Ovis aries: one gene and its partner. Each later gene encodes a partner of the first gene's protein in a complex. Links are inferred from orthologs where the notes say so. Each region holds a gene or a part of one and is shown on either strand. Other genes may lie near its edges. The genes, in order: RANGAP1 and SENP2.

Region 1 (7,659 bases):
ACCCTAAGGAAAATTCAGACTGATTTGGTCAGTCCTAGCCAGAATCAGCTCAGGAATAACATCAGGCCTAGTTGGAAGCTTCTCAGCCTTTTCAGATGATGATCCATTTTAAGGAAACATCCTGTGACCCTGACTGAAATCCAGTTCAAATGAGGAAACCTGTGGGCTGGAAGAAGCACAAGCTGGAATCAAGATTGCTGGGAGAAATATCAATAACCTCAGATATGTAGATGACACCACCCTTATGGCAGAAAGTGAAGAAAAACTAAAGAGCCTCTTGATGAAAGTGAAAGAGGAGAGTGAAAAAGTTGACTTAAAGCTCAACATTCAGAAAACGAAGATCATGGCATCTGGTCCCATCACTTCACAGCAAATAGATGGGGAAACAGTGGCTGACTTTATTTTGGGGGGCTCTAAAATCACTGCAGATGGTGATTGCAGCCATGAAATTAAAAGACCCTTGCTCCTTGGAAGAAAAGTTATGACCAACCACGACAGCATATTAAAAAGCAGAGACATTACTTTGCCAACAAAGGTCCATCTAGTCAAGGCTATGGTTTTCCAGTGGTCATGTATGGACGTGAGAGTTGGACTACAAAGAAAGCTGAGCACTGAAGAATCGATGCTTTTGAACTGTGGTGTTAGAGAAGACTCTTGAGAGTCCCTTGGACTGCAAGGAGATCCAACCAGTCCATCCTAAAGGAGATGAATCCTGGGTGTTCATTGGAAGGACTGATGTTGAAGCTGAAACTCCAATACTTTGGCCACCTGATGCGAAGAACTGACTCGTTGGAAAAGACCCTGATGCTGGGAAAGATTGAGGGCAGGAGGAGAAGGGGACGACAGAGGATGAGATGGTTGGATGGCATCACCGACTCAATGGACATGAGTTTGGGTAAACTTCAGGAGTTGGTGATGGACAGGGAGGACTGGTGTGCTGTGGTTCATGGGGGTAGCAAAGAATCGGACACAACTGAGCAACTGAACTGAACAGAACTGAGGTACCTATGACAGGCCAGGACCCCAGAGAATGTTGCCCAGATAGAAAGAGTACCTGCCTAGAGGCTCTTCAGGTGAAGGAGGAAGCTGCCAAGTAGAATGTTAACTCTGTGAAGAAGCTCTCAGACCCACTGCTGTGGGGTCTGAAGCTTGCTGGGGGGCCCACAGGAAGCAGATTCATTCAGGTTGGAGTCACCAGGGCAAGGAAAGCCTCCTGGAGGAGGTGGCATTTAATATGGGCTTTGGCTTCCCTGGCGGCTCAGAGGGTAAAGCGTCTGCCTGCCATGCAGGAGGCCTGGGTTCGATCCCTGGGTCAGGAAGATAAATCCCATGGACAGAGAGGCCTGGTAGACTACAGTCCATGGGATCGCAAAGAGTTAGACACGACTGAGCAACTTCACTTCACTTCACTTTGCAGGCAGAAGAGGAAAGGGAGAATATAGGATCCACAACTCAGTAGTAGTGTGGACTAGAGTCTGGAGCTTCTGTTTTCTCATCTCTGCTGGGAAGGGTAGCAATGATGCCCTTTTCCTTTGTTGTGGTAAAGATTAATTTAGTTGTATGAGGAAGAATCTGGCACATACTACATTTAACTCTGCTCTGCTGCCGCTGCTAAGTCGTTTCAGTCGTGTCCCTCGAGGCTCCCCCGTCCCTGGGGTTCTCCAGGCAAGAACACTGGAGTGGGTTGCCATTTCCTTCTCCAATGCATGAAAGTGAAAAATGAAAGTGAAGTCGCTCAGTCGTGTCCAACTCTTAGCGACCCTGTGGACTGCAGCCTACCAGGCTCCTCCGTCCACGGGATTTTCCAGGCAAGAGTCCTGGAGTGGGGTGTCATTGCCTTGTCATTGCAGGTAAAGCAAAAGCATAAGCGGGTGTGTGGGCCAAGTTGTGAGAGGTAACTTTGGAAGAGAAGTCTGCCTGTGTTGACCGTGCTGATCTCTGGGAACTAGAGTTTCTTGGGTAACATTTACTTTTCTGTTACTATCCTGTTCTATGTTGGTTGAAGTGTTTATAATGAACACCTTATTTATATAATGGTTAAAAAGTTCTTTGTGGAAAAAAAGCTACTTGTATTCTGTTACTTAAAAATTCGAACCTAGAGAAAAGTAGCAAAAATGTTCAAAGAACTCCCACAGACCCTTCACCCAGATTCACTTGTTGACATTTTGCTATACTTGCACTCTCTAGCGTTACATATGAATGCATACATTTTTTAAGCCATTCCAAAGTAGGTTCGGTGAAGGCAATGGCAACCCACTCCAGTACTCTTGCCTGGAAAATCCCGTGGATGGAGGAGCCTGGTAAGCTGCAATTCATGGGATCGCTAAGAGTCGGACACAACTGAGCGACTTCATTTTCACTTTTCACTTCCATGCATTGGAGAAGGAAATGGCAACCCACTCTAGTGTTCTTGCCTGGAGAATCCTAGGGACAGGGGTAACCCCAGTGGGCTGCCGTCTATGGGGTCGCACAGAGTCGGACACGACTGAAGCGACTTAGCAGAGTAGGTTGCAAACATCATGCCTGTAATTATTTCAGCATGTATTTCCCAAGAACAAGGGCAGTCTCTTACATAATCAGGTAGAATTTAAAAGGAACAACAGGTTTAACATGGAAACAATGCTATTATCTTTTTTTTACAACGTTATTATCTAACATACAAATTTTTCTGTCTCAATATTGCCCTTTATTGTGATTCTCTGTACCCCGGCCCCAAGCTCCAGTCCAGGACCACGTGTTGCATTTAATTATCGTGTCTTTTTAGTCATGTTTAATCTGCAGCAGCTCCTTAGCTTTTCTGTCTCACGACACAGACATTTTTGGAAGAGTACAGACACATTATTCCGTAACGTGTTCCTCAGTTGGGTAGGTCCGATGGTTCCTCACGATTAGAGTAATTTTATGCGTTGCGGGGACTGGACGGTGACGCTGTGTCCTTCTCAGCACAGCACTGCGGGAGGTGTGCGATGGATGTCAGCGTCAGTGTAGCGTTAACGTGAACGTTAATGTGGTTAAGGGTGGTGTGGCAGTTTCTTTGCTACAGAGTTACTATTTCCCCCCCGTCCTTTTAATTATCAAGGAATTTGTGGCTATTTTTGGGAAAGTCCTCGAATGTCCTTCCAATTTCATGGGACAAAAAAAAAGCGAGGTTTTCCCTTTAGGAAATGGACACCTCTTAGCTTGCGGAACAGATTGAGCTTCGAGTCTCCGTCAGCACCAGCCTTTGTCAATAAAGTTACGTGAACGTGAACATTTCCGGAAGGGCGGAGCCGGCCCGGCCTCAAGGCATTTAGGGAATTGTAGTCTTCCTGGGAGTTCGCGGTTCAACGCCTCCCAGCGGCCTCCGGGAGAAAGAGCCAGAAGCCGCAAAAGGGAGGGCACAGAGGGACCTAGCGGAGGCGCCGGGACGCCGCGCGGGTATTATGGAAATGGTAGTTCGCGGGCGCGACTCTGCGGCGTCTAGCCGCTCCCCGCGCAGGAGAAGCGGACTACCATACCCGACAGGCCGCGCGCGCGGGGGTAGGGGAAGCCGGGCCGGGCCTCCGACAAATCAAATCGAAGGAAAGAAACTGCCGGCTTTCAAAATCCACCTCCCTCCGCCATCATCCGCCGCCGTGCGGGGAGCAGGTGGTGTCGGAGGTGCGAGCGGAGAGAAGCGGTTGGACAAAGCTGACGGACGTCTACCGGTGGGGCTGAGCATCGGGAGCGCCGGACCGGAGGCGGCGACCCCGATCTGACCTGACCTGACCTGACCCGGACCCTAAATCCGTCCGCGCCCGCCGGACGCACGCGCGCACTCCGGTCGCCCCACGCGGCGGCGCAGCCTGTGTACGGTAGGGTCGGGGATCCCTTTCCTTTCCTTGTCACCTGCCCGGGGATGCAGGCGGGGGTGGCGCGGCGCTGGAACCGGGCGAGGAAGGTGTGGCGCTTTCTGCGTGCCCCCCTCCGTTTTCATCCCCTGTGCCCTCGACCGCCGAGCGCCGAGCCGGGTGGGAGTTGGGGCGCTGTCCCTTTTCCCAAGCGGCGAGGCTGAAGCTTAAGAGAGGGCGTCAGGCCCACCCGGCTCGCCCAGCCGGCAGCGGCGTCCCCTTTTCGCGTCGGTGTCAATCCGAGGGCGGTGAACGTCCGCCTGGGATCCCGGATGGGGCTCTGGTGCGGCCCCGCCTGTCATTGGCGTCCCGAACTCGCGCATCGCTCTCCCGCCGCCGCCTCGCAAGAGGCCCACACCCGCCGAGGACCTGGGCTGGTGCCGCCGCAGCCCCGGGGACCCGCGTGAGTCACTGCCGACGCTGGGCAGGAGTGGTGGATGTGCACGGAGGCAAATGTGCCAGGCTCCTGCTCGGGAGGGAGAGGAGATTTTTGCGTTTACTTCGCCGCTGGCCCTTTGCAGACCTTGGACCAGTCAGTTCATCTCTCTGTGGTCCAGTTGCCTAGACTTTATAGTGGATAGGATGGGTGTGTGTGTGTGTGTGTGTGTGTGTACACGTAGGTACTGGACTTCTCTATGGGGGTGTGTGTGTGTACACGTAGGTACTGGACTTCTCTATGGGTGTGTGTGTGTGTGTGTGTGTGTACACGTAGGTACTGGACTTCTCTATGGGGGTGTGTGTGTGTGTGTTTACGTCTGTACGTTCGTACTGGACTTCTCTTCCAGCTGAGAAGTTCTGTGTTCCTGTTTCATCTGGACGCCTCACCACCGTTTTTCTAGCCTTAAATTGTCCCAAACCAGAATTACAAGGAGTGGGGGGGTGGTGTTGTCAGGCTATTTTATGTTCAGTTTCATCCCCTCGTTCATTCTTGAAGCAGCTTTGAGATTCCCAGCCTCACGCAGCAGATAGAGTGATCCTGTCAGAACATAACTCACATCACAGTCCCTCTTCTGCTAGAAACCCTCCAGTGGCTCCCTTTGTCATTCAGAGTAAAAGCTTTAGTTCTTAAACTGGCCTTTGTGACTGGGGCCTCTTGTTAATTCTCTTTATCTCTTACCTCTTTTCTCCTTCCCTCTCTGTGTTCCAGCCCCACTGGCCTCCTTGCACTTCCTCTGACCCCCACTTCACCCACAAGAGCCTTTGCAAGAATGTTCTTCCCCCAGATATCTGCATGGGTCAGTCCCCAATATCCTTCAAGTCTTTGTTTCTTTCTTGATAATACCTTCTTTAAGACTCTTGAGAGTCCTCTTGGATTGCAAGGAGATCAAACTAGTCAATCCTAAAGGAAATCAGTCCTGAATATTCATTGGAAGGGCTGAAGCTGAAGCCCCAGTACTTTGGCCACCTGATGTGAAGAACTGACTCCTTGGAAAAGACCCCGATGCTGGGAAATATTGAAGGCAGGAGAAGGGAACGACAGAGGACAAGATGGTTGGATGGCGTCACCGACTCAATGGACATGAGTTTGAGCAAGCTGCAGGAGACGGTGAAGGACAGGGAACCCTGGTGTGCTCCAGTCCATGGGGTTGCAAACAGTTGGACACGACTAAACGACTGAACAACCACCACCACTCTTATTTTAGATTAAATCCATTCCCCCCTCCCAAGAGAAAAAGGAAAACAGCAAAGTTTCTTACCCCTTTTCCTGTTTTTTTTTTTTTTTTTCTTATCACTGCCTGAGACACTAAATAACCTTGTTCTTCCTGATCACCCATTCCTCTTTGGGGAAATGTAGTGATCCTTTCTGCCAGTCTGCTGAACTGCAGGCTGGAAGCTCCTTTTTCTCAACAACTCTGTCCTCAGTCTATTGTGATGGTGGCTATTGTGATGTAGAGACCTCTGGTCGCCTAGGAACCCCTGAGGTCTGGCCGCCATGGGCTGCCCAGTCTCCTGGCCACGGTTGAAACCAGCTGTGCAGTAGGCTGTGCCCTGTGCCCCATCCCCAGAGTCATGCCAGTGAGGGCAGTGGGGCATTCTTTGGGATGGATAACCTGGATCCCATAGCCATCCATGTCCTGTTTGAGGAATGGGACCCTCAAACAGAGAGCGCCCAACATGATCAGGCAGGTGTGTGCTCTGGGGAGACTCTTCATAGCCGTCAGACTGGGACTTGACTGCCGTTCCCTGGGGACCCAGTGGTCAACTCACATGGCTCTGCTTGGTACCCTGCCTGGGGCAGTTGGGCAGAGGAGGGCCTGTAGTGGGACAGTAACTCTGCAGAGGTTGAAACCTTTGCCCTTTTAGAACTCTTTCTTGCTCAGTGTTGTTTTTATTTCTCCCAGTGGTTTAGCGCTTGGGATTTCCTTATCCTGGGGGGTGGGATCAGGCAGCTGAAATGGTCCTCCCCGGCCCTCCCCAACCTGGAGATGCCCAGAGATCCTCTCTCTTAATGCACTTTGACCTCTTCAGTCTGCAGATTTCCAGGGGAGCCCACCAACGCAGCCACCATGGCCTCTGAAGATATTGCCAAGCTAGCAGAGACGCTTGCCAAGACCCAGGTGGCCGGGGGACAGCTGAGTTTCAAGGGCAAGAGCCTCAAACTCAACACTGCGGATGATGGTGAGTCTCCGTGTGGACTGGCTCTGGAGGGACAGGGAACAAGCGAGAGAGCGCCTCCTCGTCCCACTTGTCAGGCCCGGTTAGCTTCATGATCACACTCGTCCTAGCCCAGTGAGGCTTGAAGATGTTTTGTCCACGAGCACGTGGTGGGCATCCCTGCCGGTGGCTTCAGGCCGGCAGATGGGAAGGGCCTTTTTGGGGGAATGGTCGGCAGTGAGGGACCATGGTGAGCTGCAGTCTCAGGATCCAGCCCTGATTTCTTACTTTAGATCCACCCCTACATTCACCGCATGATCCAGAGCTGGTCTGGGAATAGTCATTGCCTTCCTGAGAGCGGGAAGGTTCTGAGCACTGCACCCCCGAGAGCAGTGAGGCTGCATGAAAGGACAATCCAGGGGTTTCCCTGGCAGTCCAGTGGTTAAGACTCTGCACTTCCACTGCAGGGGCCATAGGTTCAATCCCTGGTCAGGGAACTAAGATCCCACATGCTGTGCAGTGCAGGCCAAAAAAAAGAGAGAGACACTGGGCCTTCTTGGGAGTCTAGTCCATGCAGTGAATGCCCCTGGGGGAGGGATGGATGTGCCTCTCTGTGAACAGGCATCCGGGCCGGACAGACCTAGAAGCAGAATGCAGACCCTGTCTGCTTCCGTGGCCCGAGTATGGCTGGCACGGATCCACCCCGAATCCCAGGCATCTGGAAGTGAAGGCGCCTGCGTTGGGGCCTCTTGAGGTTCCGGCCCAACCAGAGAAACTGGTCTGGACTTGCCTGGTTGTCCTGGTGTATAGGCAGGCTGGCTCCCATCCTCCAGGTCAGAGACCGCTTGAGTCCTTGCACATTCCTAACATCTCTGTAGGGCCTTAACCTTTAGAGTTCCTCCCTGTGCTTTATCACTTTTGATCCTTACATCATCCCTGGGGAAGGGAGGTAAACATGTTGCCATTTAATGAGTAAAGAGTAAAGAACTCGGGAGTCTTCAGTAACTTACTGAAGCTGCTGTAGCCCTGAATAGCAGAGCCAGGATTCCGTCAGAGGTACAGCAGAGTCCCTGGTCTGACGTGTCTCAGTGTACATTCAGCCCAGCTCAGTAAACGTGAATTTGCTATTAAATGCTGGTCATTAACACTGGGTCAGGTAGTCTTCAGTGCTGTACAAAGAGTGTCTCCATTTATC
Region 2 (7,197 bases), on another chromosome or scaffold:
TCAGTGTCATTTTTCTAACACTGAAGTGTTAACAGGAAGTGTCTATTTGCTCACTTCACGTCTCTGTGTCATATCTTGGTAATTCTTCACAACATTTCAAACTTTTCATCATTACTATACTTGTTACAGTGATCTGTGAACAGTGGTCTTAGATGCTACTATTGTGAAAAGATTACAGCTCACTGAAGGCTCAGGTGATGGTTAACACAAAAAGTATTTATTGATAAAGTATTTTTTAATTAGGTATATGCATTGGTTTTTAGATATGATCCTACTGCAGACTTAACAGACTACAGTGTAAACATAACTTTTATAAGCACTGGGAAACCAAGAAATTGATGTGACTCACTTTACTGAGATATTTGCTTTACAGTGGTGGCCTGTAACCAAGCCTGGAATATTACTGAGGTATTCCTGCTTTTAACAAAACAGTCATTATCCAAACTCCAACAGTTAAGCCTCTCAACTTACCACCAGGCTCCAATGTACCTTCCGATGAATAGGCACCAGAATAAGTTCCTGTTCAAAGAGACTGACCCCTTTGGTCCATCTTTTCACCGCTTGGTAACCCCCAGACTTTAATTTCGGATAGAAGAAAGTACTGAATGCATAAAGTGCTGGATACCCTTGCCTTTTATTTCTTTCCACCAGGAGATTCATGTAAAAATTAATGACCTGTAACACCAAGAGAGTAAACATTGGAATATGCCAAGTATATTATCAAAACTCAATTTCTACTTGAGTAGGATGAATTAGAAATAAGAAACTAAGGGAAGGGACAGAAGATAAAAGGGTTATCTACGACAGAAGATGGAAAGTAAAAAATGATCAGTGCAAAATGGGAGGGATTTAGAAGGAATGAGACTGTACTTCTGAGGCATATGAATAAGAGAGCCATGAGAAAGAACTCAAGGAGAAATTCTGCAACAACTACAAGGTGTATGTAACTACACCACACATAAAACATGTGGAAATATTAACTGAAAGTGAATTTTACATAAATTATACCTCAATTTTTAAAAACTCACTGGAAGGAAATACACCAAAACAATAGTTATTTTGTTTGCTTTTGAGTTGTGCCATTTTTTTGTTTTCATAGAAATATATAATTTTAATCATTTTAATTGAAATATAGTTGATTTATAATGTTTCAGATGTACAGCAAAGTGATTCTGTTCTACATACATATATTCTTTTTCAGATTCTTTTCCATTATAGATTATTACAAGAGAGCTGTGCCACTTTTGAATGATAATATTGTTCCTTCACTTTTCCTTATTTTCTAAATTTTTATAATAAACATTGTATTTGTAATATGAAACAGAAATGTTCTAATTTTATAAGAATGTGTTTATATGCCATGAGTCATGACAAGAGGGAAGGAAAGCAAAGGGAAAAAAATGCAGGGGGCTGCATGGCTGGCTGGGTAAAGGATCAACCAGAAAACTGGCAAGAACTAAGCTTTAGCGGAAGACGTAAGGAGACAAGGCCATTAGGCAAATGTTTATACTTATCACTCAAATTAAATAAACACATAGTGCATATAGAGTGATCAAAATATTTATTATTGAAAAAAATAAAATGGCTCCTGTAAGAATTCATCTAAAATAAATGACCACTTGTCTGCTTCCTTCCATTTATCAGTTGCACCCAGGGTTCATAAAAATGTCACTAATAAATGAAGATGTAGACAAAACAAAGCAGAGGCAGAAGAGGGAAACATCGCTAATTAAAGGCAGCAAACAGTCAGAATTAACTATCTTTTCAAGGTTTAAGATGTTTTTGTTTTAGGTAAACTAAAGCTACCTTAGCAGTCCCTCCTGTGTAGAAACCACGATATTACAGGTAGAAAAGAGTTAACCATAATGGTAGTCCAAGGGGTAAAAAAAAAAAAAGACAACTTACTTCATCATTGAGCCAGTGATAGTTCCTCAAGGTCTGGATGTCTCCTCGAGTGATTCGTAATTTGAAAGCACTACTTAGGATCTCATCCTGTGGGCCATGGCCTAGAGCATTACTGATTTCCTTTTCCATGTCCTGAATTATAAAGTCCAGAGGTTGTTACTTTAATAAAGAACCATTATCAGATACTGAAAGTCTGAGATTGAAAAAAGCTTTTCATCCCTATAATACTTGACCCTTAAGAAAAACTATCAAAGACCTACTAAATCAAAAGACAAAAAGATTTTAATTCAGGACCACAAAGCAGTCTTACTAACAGTTATAAGAAATGCCAGCCCAATTACTAGCTGCTAGAAAAAGTTATTGGGTAAAAGTGTTTGAAGTATAGTCTCAATTATCCTACTACCATTTATTGAGCACTATGAGCCAAACACGTACCAGATGCTTGAAGTGCTTCGTTAATCCCTATCTGTGGGGAAAGTACTGTCACCATTTTATAGAAGAGGTAAACCTCAGAGAATTTTGGTTACATGCAGAGTCATATGATGATTAAAAAACAGAGCCAAGATTTGAATCCAGAAGTGTCTAACTCCTGAACTTTCTTCTCGTTTCACAACACTATAAAAGCATTTTCATACTTTCCTCAACTGTCTCCTGAACCTTGATTTTAAAAAATCAAAGTAATAAAATTAGGGCATCAAAGAGATCATTCTATCCATTTCTGATGTGAAGAGAATAAGCAGAAACTAGAAAACTAGGCAGCAGTCTAGCAACTGAGTCCTTACTAAATAGATGGCATCATTTTTCTAAAGAATTACACAGATAAACATAAATTTATGCTATAAGCCTGAATCTACAAACCAACTAGAAACTTTCATCCAAATATTTTCACTTCTGCTTCCTCTACCACTATACACAATTTTGCAACTTTATGGATCTTTCTCTCCACCTGCATGCCCAATACATAATAAGTGCTCAATAGATAATCACCGAATAGGACATCGGCTAAGACAATAATGGAGGAGTCAAAATGTGGGCTCACTTTTAAAATGAGAATTTTTAAGTTAACCTTCATTTCCTTGTTTTCTATAAGCTTCTACTTATTTGCTGTACAATGATCAATGAAAGGGGCATTTTAGAGAACCATAATCACTTAACAAACATTGCAATGAAGGGGAGTTCCCTGGCAGTCCAGCACTTTCACTACCAGAGTCTCAGTTCCAACCCTGGTTGGGGAACTGGTATCCCATAGGCTGTGCAGCATGGCCAAAAATAAGTAAATAAAATAAAACGTTAAAAAGACAAAAACAAAAAAACTGCAACAAATCTCTTTATAGTGTCAAACTCATACTACATAACTCAAAATACTTTAAGCTTAGAAAAAGAATCTACAAAGAATCCAGTATATTCCAAGATGTGTGAAAATTCTGTCCACTCACATTTGCTGAAATTAATCTAACCCCTTAGGCCACTTGTACAGATCACTAATGATCAGTGTAGCAAGTAAATGACCTGCCCTTGGGCCTGATTTCCTTCACACATACATTTCCTGGAGAAACTCCTCAAAACAAAACATGCACTCAAGCCTTGAATAACTAAGGTTATGTAAAAACATGCCTCTTATTTGATTAACACAAGAAACAATACCTCTGTAAGTTCAAGAAGATCATCTGTCCTTTTATCCCTTTCTTTGTTTGAGCAATTTTTTTCTTTTGTCTCAAGTATTGACATTTTCCTCCTGAGTAAGCCATTGCTTCCACTGCCCAGGCGGAGTCGGGCTGACACTTCTTCAGACAGGTCGGGTTCCAGCTGAAATCCCCTCCTCTGGTTAAAAAAATTCCCATATTCTATTGACATGTTTGATACTTGTACATATACACATATATAACACATGAAATATAGAACAGCACCATTATTTTGAAAGAAAAGAGAATTAGTACATCCCCAAATGAGTAAAGTACAAAAAGCATTATCTGCCTGTCCCTACAAGAGGGAATGAAAACTTCAAGACCTAAGGTTCACAAGACACCTGAATTATAAATCATGAATCAGAACATTCATCATTTTCCCAGGAGGTAGCAAGAAAATTTGGAGAAGGCAACGGCCACCCACTCCAGTACTCTTGCCTGGAGAATCCCGTGGATGGAGGAGCCTGGTAGGCTGCAGTCCATGGGGTCGCAAAGAGTGGGACACAACTGAGCAACTTCACTTTCACTTTTCACTTTCATTCATTGGAGAAGGAAATGGCAACCCACTCCAGTGTTCTTGCATGAAGAATCCCAGGGACGGAGGAGCCTGCTGAGCTGCTGTCTATGGGGTCGCACAGAGTCAGATACAACTGAAGCGACTTAGCCGCAGCAGCAGCAAGAAAATTATTTTCACTTCTCTTATCTCAATTAAAAATAATATAGTCAAAAGATATATTGAAAAACTTTAAAAAAGCAAAATATATGACCCTTAATCCTATCACTCAAAATAAACCACGGGTGGACTTCCGTGGTGATCCAGTGGTTTTAACAATCCATCTGCCAATGCGTGCGTGGGACATGGGTTCGAATTCTGGTTCAGGAAGATCCCACATACCTCAGGGCAGCTAAGCCCCTGTGCCACAACTACTGAGCCCATGCTCCAGAGCCTGTGAGCCACAACTACTGAAGCCTAAGCACCCTAGAGCCTTGCTCTGCAACGAGATGCCACCACAATAAGAAGCCTGCATACCAGAGCACCAGAACTAGAGTAGGCCCCGCTCACTGCATCTAGAGAAAGCCAACACACAGCAAACGAAGACAGAGCATAGCTAAAAATAATAAAAATTGTATATTAAAAAAAACCCAAAATGAAAATAAAAATAAACCACTGCTATTTTTACAGGTAAACTTGTTCTTAGTATAAAAACAGTGGACTGGTTCAAAATTGGGAAAGGAATACGTTAAGGCTGTATATTGTCACCCTGCTTATTCAACTTATATGCAGAGTACAACATGTGAAATGCTGGGCTTGATGAAGCAGAAGCTGGAATCAAGTTTTTACAGGGAGAAATACCAATAACCTCAGTTATGCAGGTGACATCACCCTTATGGCAGAAAGTGAGGAGGAACTAAAGAGCCTCTTGATGAAGGTGAAAGAGCAGAGTGAAAAAGCTGCCTTAAAACTCAACATTTGTAAGATTTGTAATAGTTTCAAGTAAATATGAAATCTTGAATCTGAAAAGTCCTGAACAAATATTTTCCTAAATGGGCTTCCCTCCCAGGTGGCGTTACTGATAAAGAACTCGCCTGCCATGCAGGAGACATAAGAGACGCAGATTCAGTCCCTGAGTCCAGAAGATCCCCTGGAGGAGGGCATGACAACCCACTCCAGTATTCCTGCCTGGAGAATCCCATGAACAGAGGAGCCTGGAGGGCTACAGTCCATGGGGTCGCAAAGAGGCGGGGACATGACTGAAGCAACTTCATGAACACAGCACAAAGATGTAAAAAAGAATCTCTGAAAGAAGCCAGGCAACACAGATAAGGGCTAAGATGGAGCCAAGTTGGTCTCTCTCACAAAGGTGGCTACTGCAGAGATAAAAATCTGGCAACTTAGAAGAAAGCCAAAGGTGTGTATCTTCAATGCTTGTTGCTTTTTCAAGAAAAATAATGGAATTAGAAATTAAAGTAACAAATATTATCTTTCTTATTTTTCATGGGCACCAAAATTTTAATGTAAGTCACGTGAAAGAAGCAAAGGCATAAAATTTAACTAAGGTTTCTACTTACACATTCATTTTCTAGTCTGATTCCAACTGTCTTTTCTGTATCAGAAATTTTCCCCTTTGAACACCTGAGGAAAAAAACTGAGAAATTACAGACTGGATGATTTTAATCTGGTACATGTTAAACTAGTTTTAGAAATAAGATTTAATAATTAGTAACAAATATTGCCGTGAGTTTATATAGTCCTCTAAACCAAAAGTTAGCAAAATTTTTCCAAAAAGGATCAGCTCATAAATATCTTAGGCTTTTCAGGTCTTATGGTTTCTGTCATATCATCTCAACTTTGTTTTCAATCAGCCCTAAGCAGCATGTAAATGAATGAGCATGACTGTGTCCAATAAAAATGTACTTACAAACAGGTAGACCAGATTTGGTCCATGGGCCACAGTTTACCACAGTCTGCTATAAATGGACCAGCATCTAAAATCCTAAGGCACATAGAACTGCCTTCACTGTTCATATACTTGAGATGCTAATCACTAGAACTATCCACCACACTCATAGTCTTATCTCAGCAGCACTCACTGATGCCTCCCAACGCCTAATGTCTAGGAGAGAAGGGCACCGTCCCAAGCTAGGGTGGGCATCTTACACAAGAGCTACTTATATACCCACATATGCTGACTAACTGCCAGAGCTGAGAAGAGGTCACAGTTTCACAGATGTAGTTACTCTTAAATACAGTTTATAAAGTAAGAAAATAATGTCAGGGACTTTCCTTGCAGTCCAGTGGTTAAGACTCCACGCTTCCACTGAAGGGGTCACGGGTTCAATACCTGGGTGGGGAAGTAAGATCCCACAAGCCGTGCAGTGCGGCCAAAAAAAGAAAGAAAGAAAATATGTCAAAAGAGAAGTTAGAATAAACCGAACAGTGTACCTCTTTTCACTTCTCACTGAACACAGAGGTCCCCTTGTTTCAACAACTCTATCTGTGAGAATGGTAAAAAAAAAAAAAAAAAAGTGTTTCCTTCGTTAATCAATCATATAGCTAGCATTTCACCTTACAGTCCCCAAAGTATGAAGATACTCATTTACATTGAAATGCTAAAATGGATTCCAAAAACATTAGTGTTTATACAAATTAAGTTGCTAAAAAATGTTGCATAAATCTCTTTCTCCTTTACATATAGTCTTTAGTGTAAACTGGCTAACATCTGCTTACTTAGTAAGCTATCACTTAGTGTTATTTAGTGAACAGCAAGTGGAAAAAAACAAGGATATTAATATAGGAATACAACAAAACTAATTTTAGGCTCACAAAATATATGCTACAATACAGGAGCTAGGAAGAATAATCAAGAGGTTATTTTATAGATCAGCTTTAACTTGAAATAGCTTTCTTACTAAATTACTAGTACTGGGTAAGTCAACAGCCTGGGGTCTAACAATGTTTTAAAATTTGGTACACCATCTTTCACTAGTATGCCATTTTTCAATTTTATATGCTTTTGAACTAAGTTCAACATATTAAGGGTATTAAGACAGGGCTAAATCTGGGAACTCACATTGCTTTGGAACAAACTGAGTTGTTCTGACTCCA

Evidence for each region.
Region 2: the proteins of RANGAP1 (region 1) and SENP2 are in contact, whole or in part, in a crystal structure (PDB 2IO3), measured with the Homo sapiens proteins. The link is inferred for Ovis aries from reciprocal best matches to the Homo sapiens genes RANGAP1 and SENP2. Residues at the interface, in NP_001265580.1 of Homo sapiens: Glu467, Asn508, Thr511, Thr514, Arg515, Val518, His519, Leu523, Lys524, Ser525, Glu526, Asp527, Val529; in NP_067640.2 of Homo sapiens: Tyr408, His409, Trp410, Val477, His478, Asp495, Met497, Gly498, Gln499, Lys500, Pro536, His537, Gln541, Gln542, Asn544, Gly545.

Annotation. Positions count from the first base shown.
Region 1 is NC_056056.1:218,248,141-218,255,799, reverse strand, and holds the start of RANGAP1 (ran GTPase-activating protein 1), read left to right. Parts: upstream 1-3,574; 5' UTR 3,575-3,833; exon of another isoform or gene 3,834-4,272; intron 4,273-6,338; 5' UTR 6,339-6,376; coding exon 6,377-6,488; intron 6,489-6,888; exon of another isoform or gene 6,889-6,961; intron 6,962-7,659. UniProt on the Homo sapiens protein: GTPase activator for RAN. Converts cytoplasmic GTP-bound RAN to GDP-bound RAN, which is essential for RAN-mediated nuclear import and export. Mediates dissociation of cargo from nuclear export complexes containing XPO1, RAN and RANBP2 after nuclear export.
Region 2 is NC_056054.1:202,374,315-202,381,511, forward strand, and holds part of SENP2 (sentrin-specific protease 2), read right to left. Parts: coding exon 7,163-7,197; intron 6,587-7,162; coding exon of another isoform or gene 6,535-6,586; intron 6,434-6,534; coding exon 6,375-6,433; intron 5,725-6,374; coding exon of another isoform or gene 5,724-5,724; coding exon 5,661-5,723; intron 3,727-5,660; coding exon 3,550-3,726; intron 2,038-3,549; coding exon 1,906-2,037; intron 676-1,905; coding exon 472-675; intron 1-471. UniProt on the Homo sapiens protein: Protease that catalyzes two essential functions in the SUMO pathway.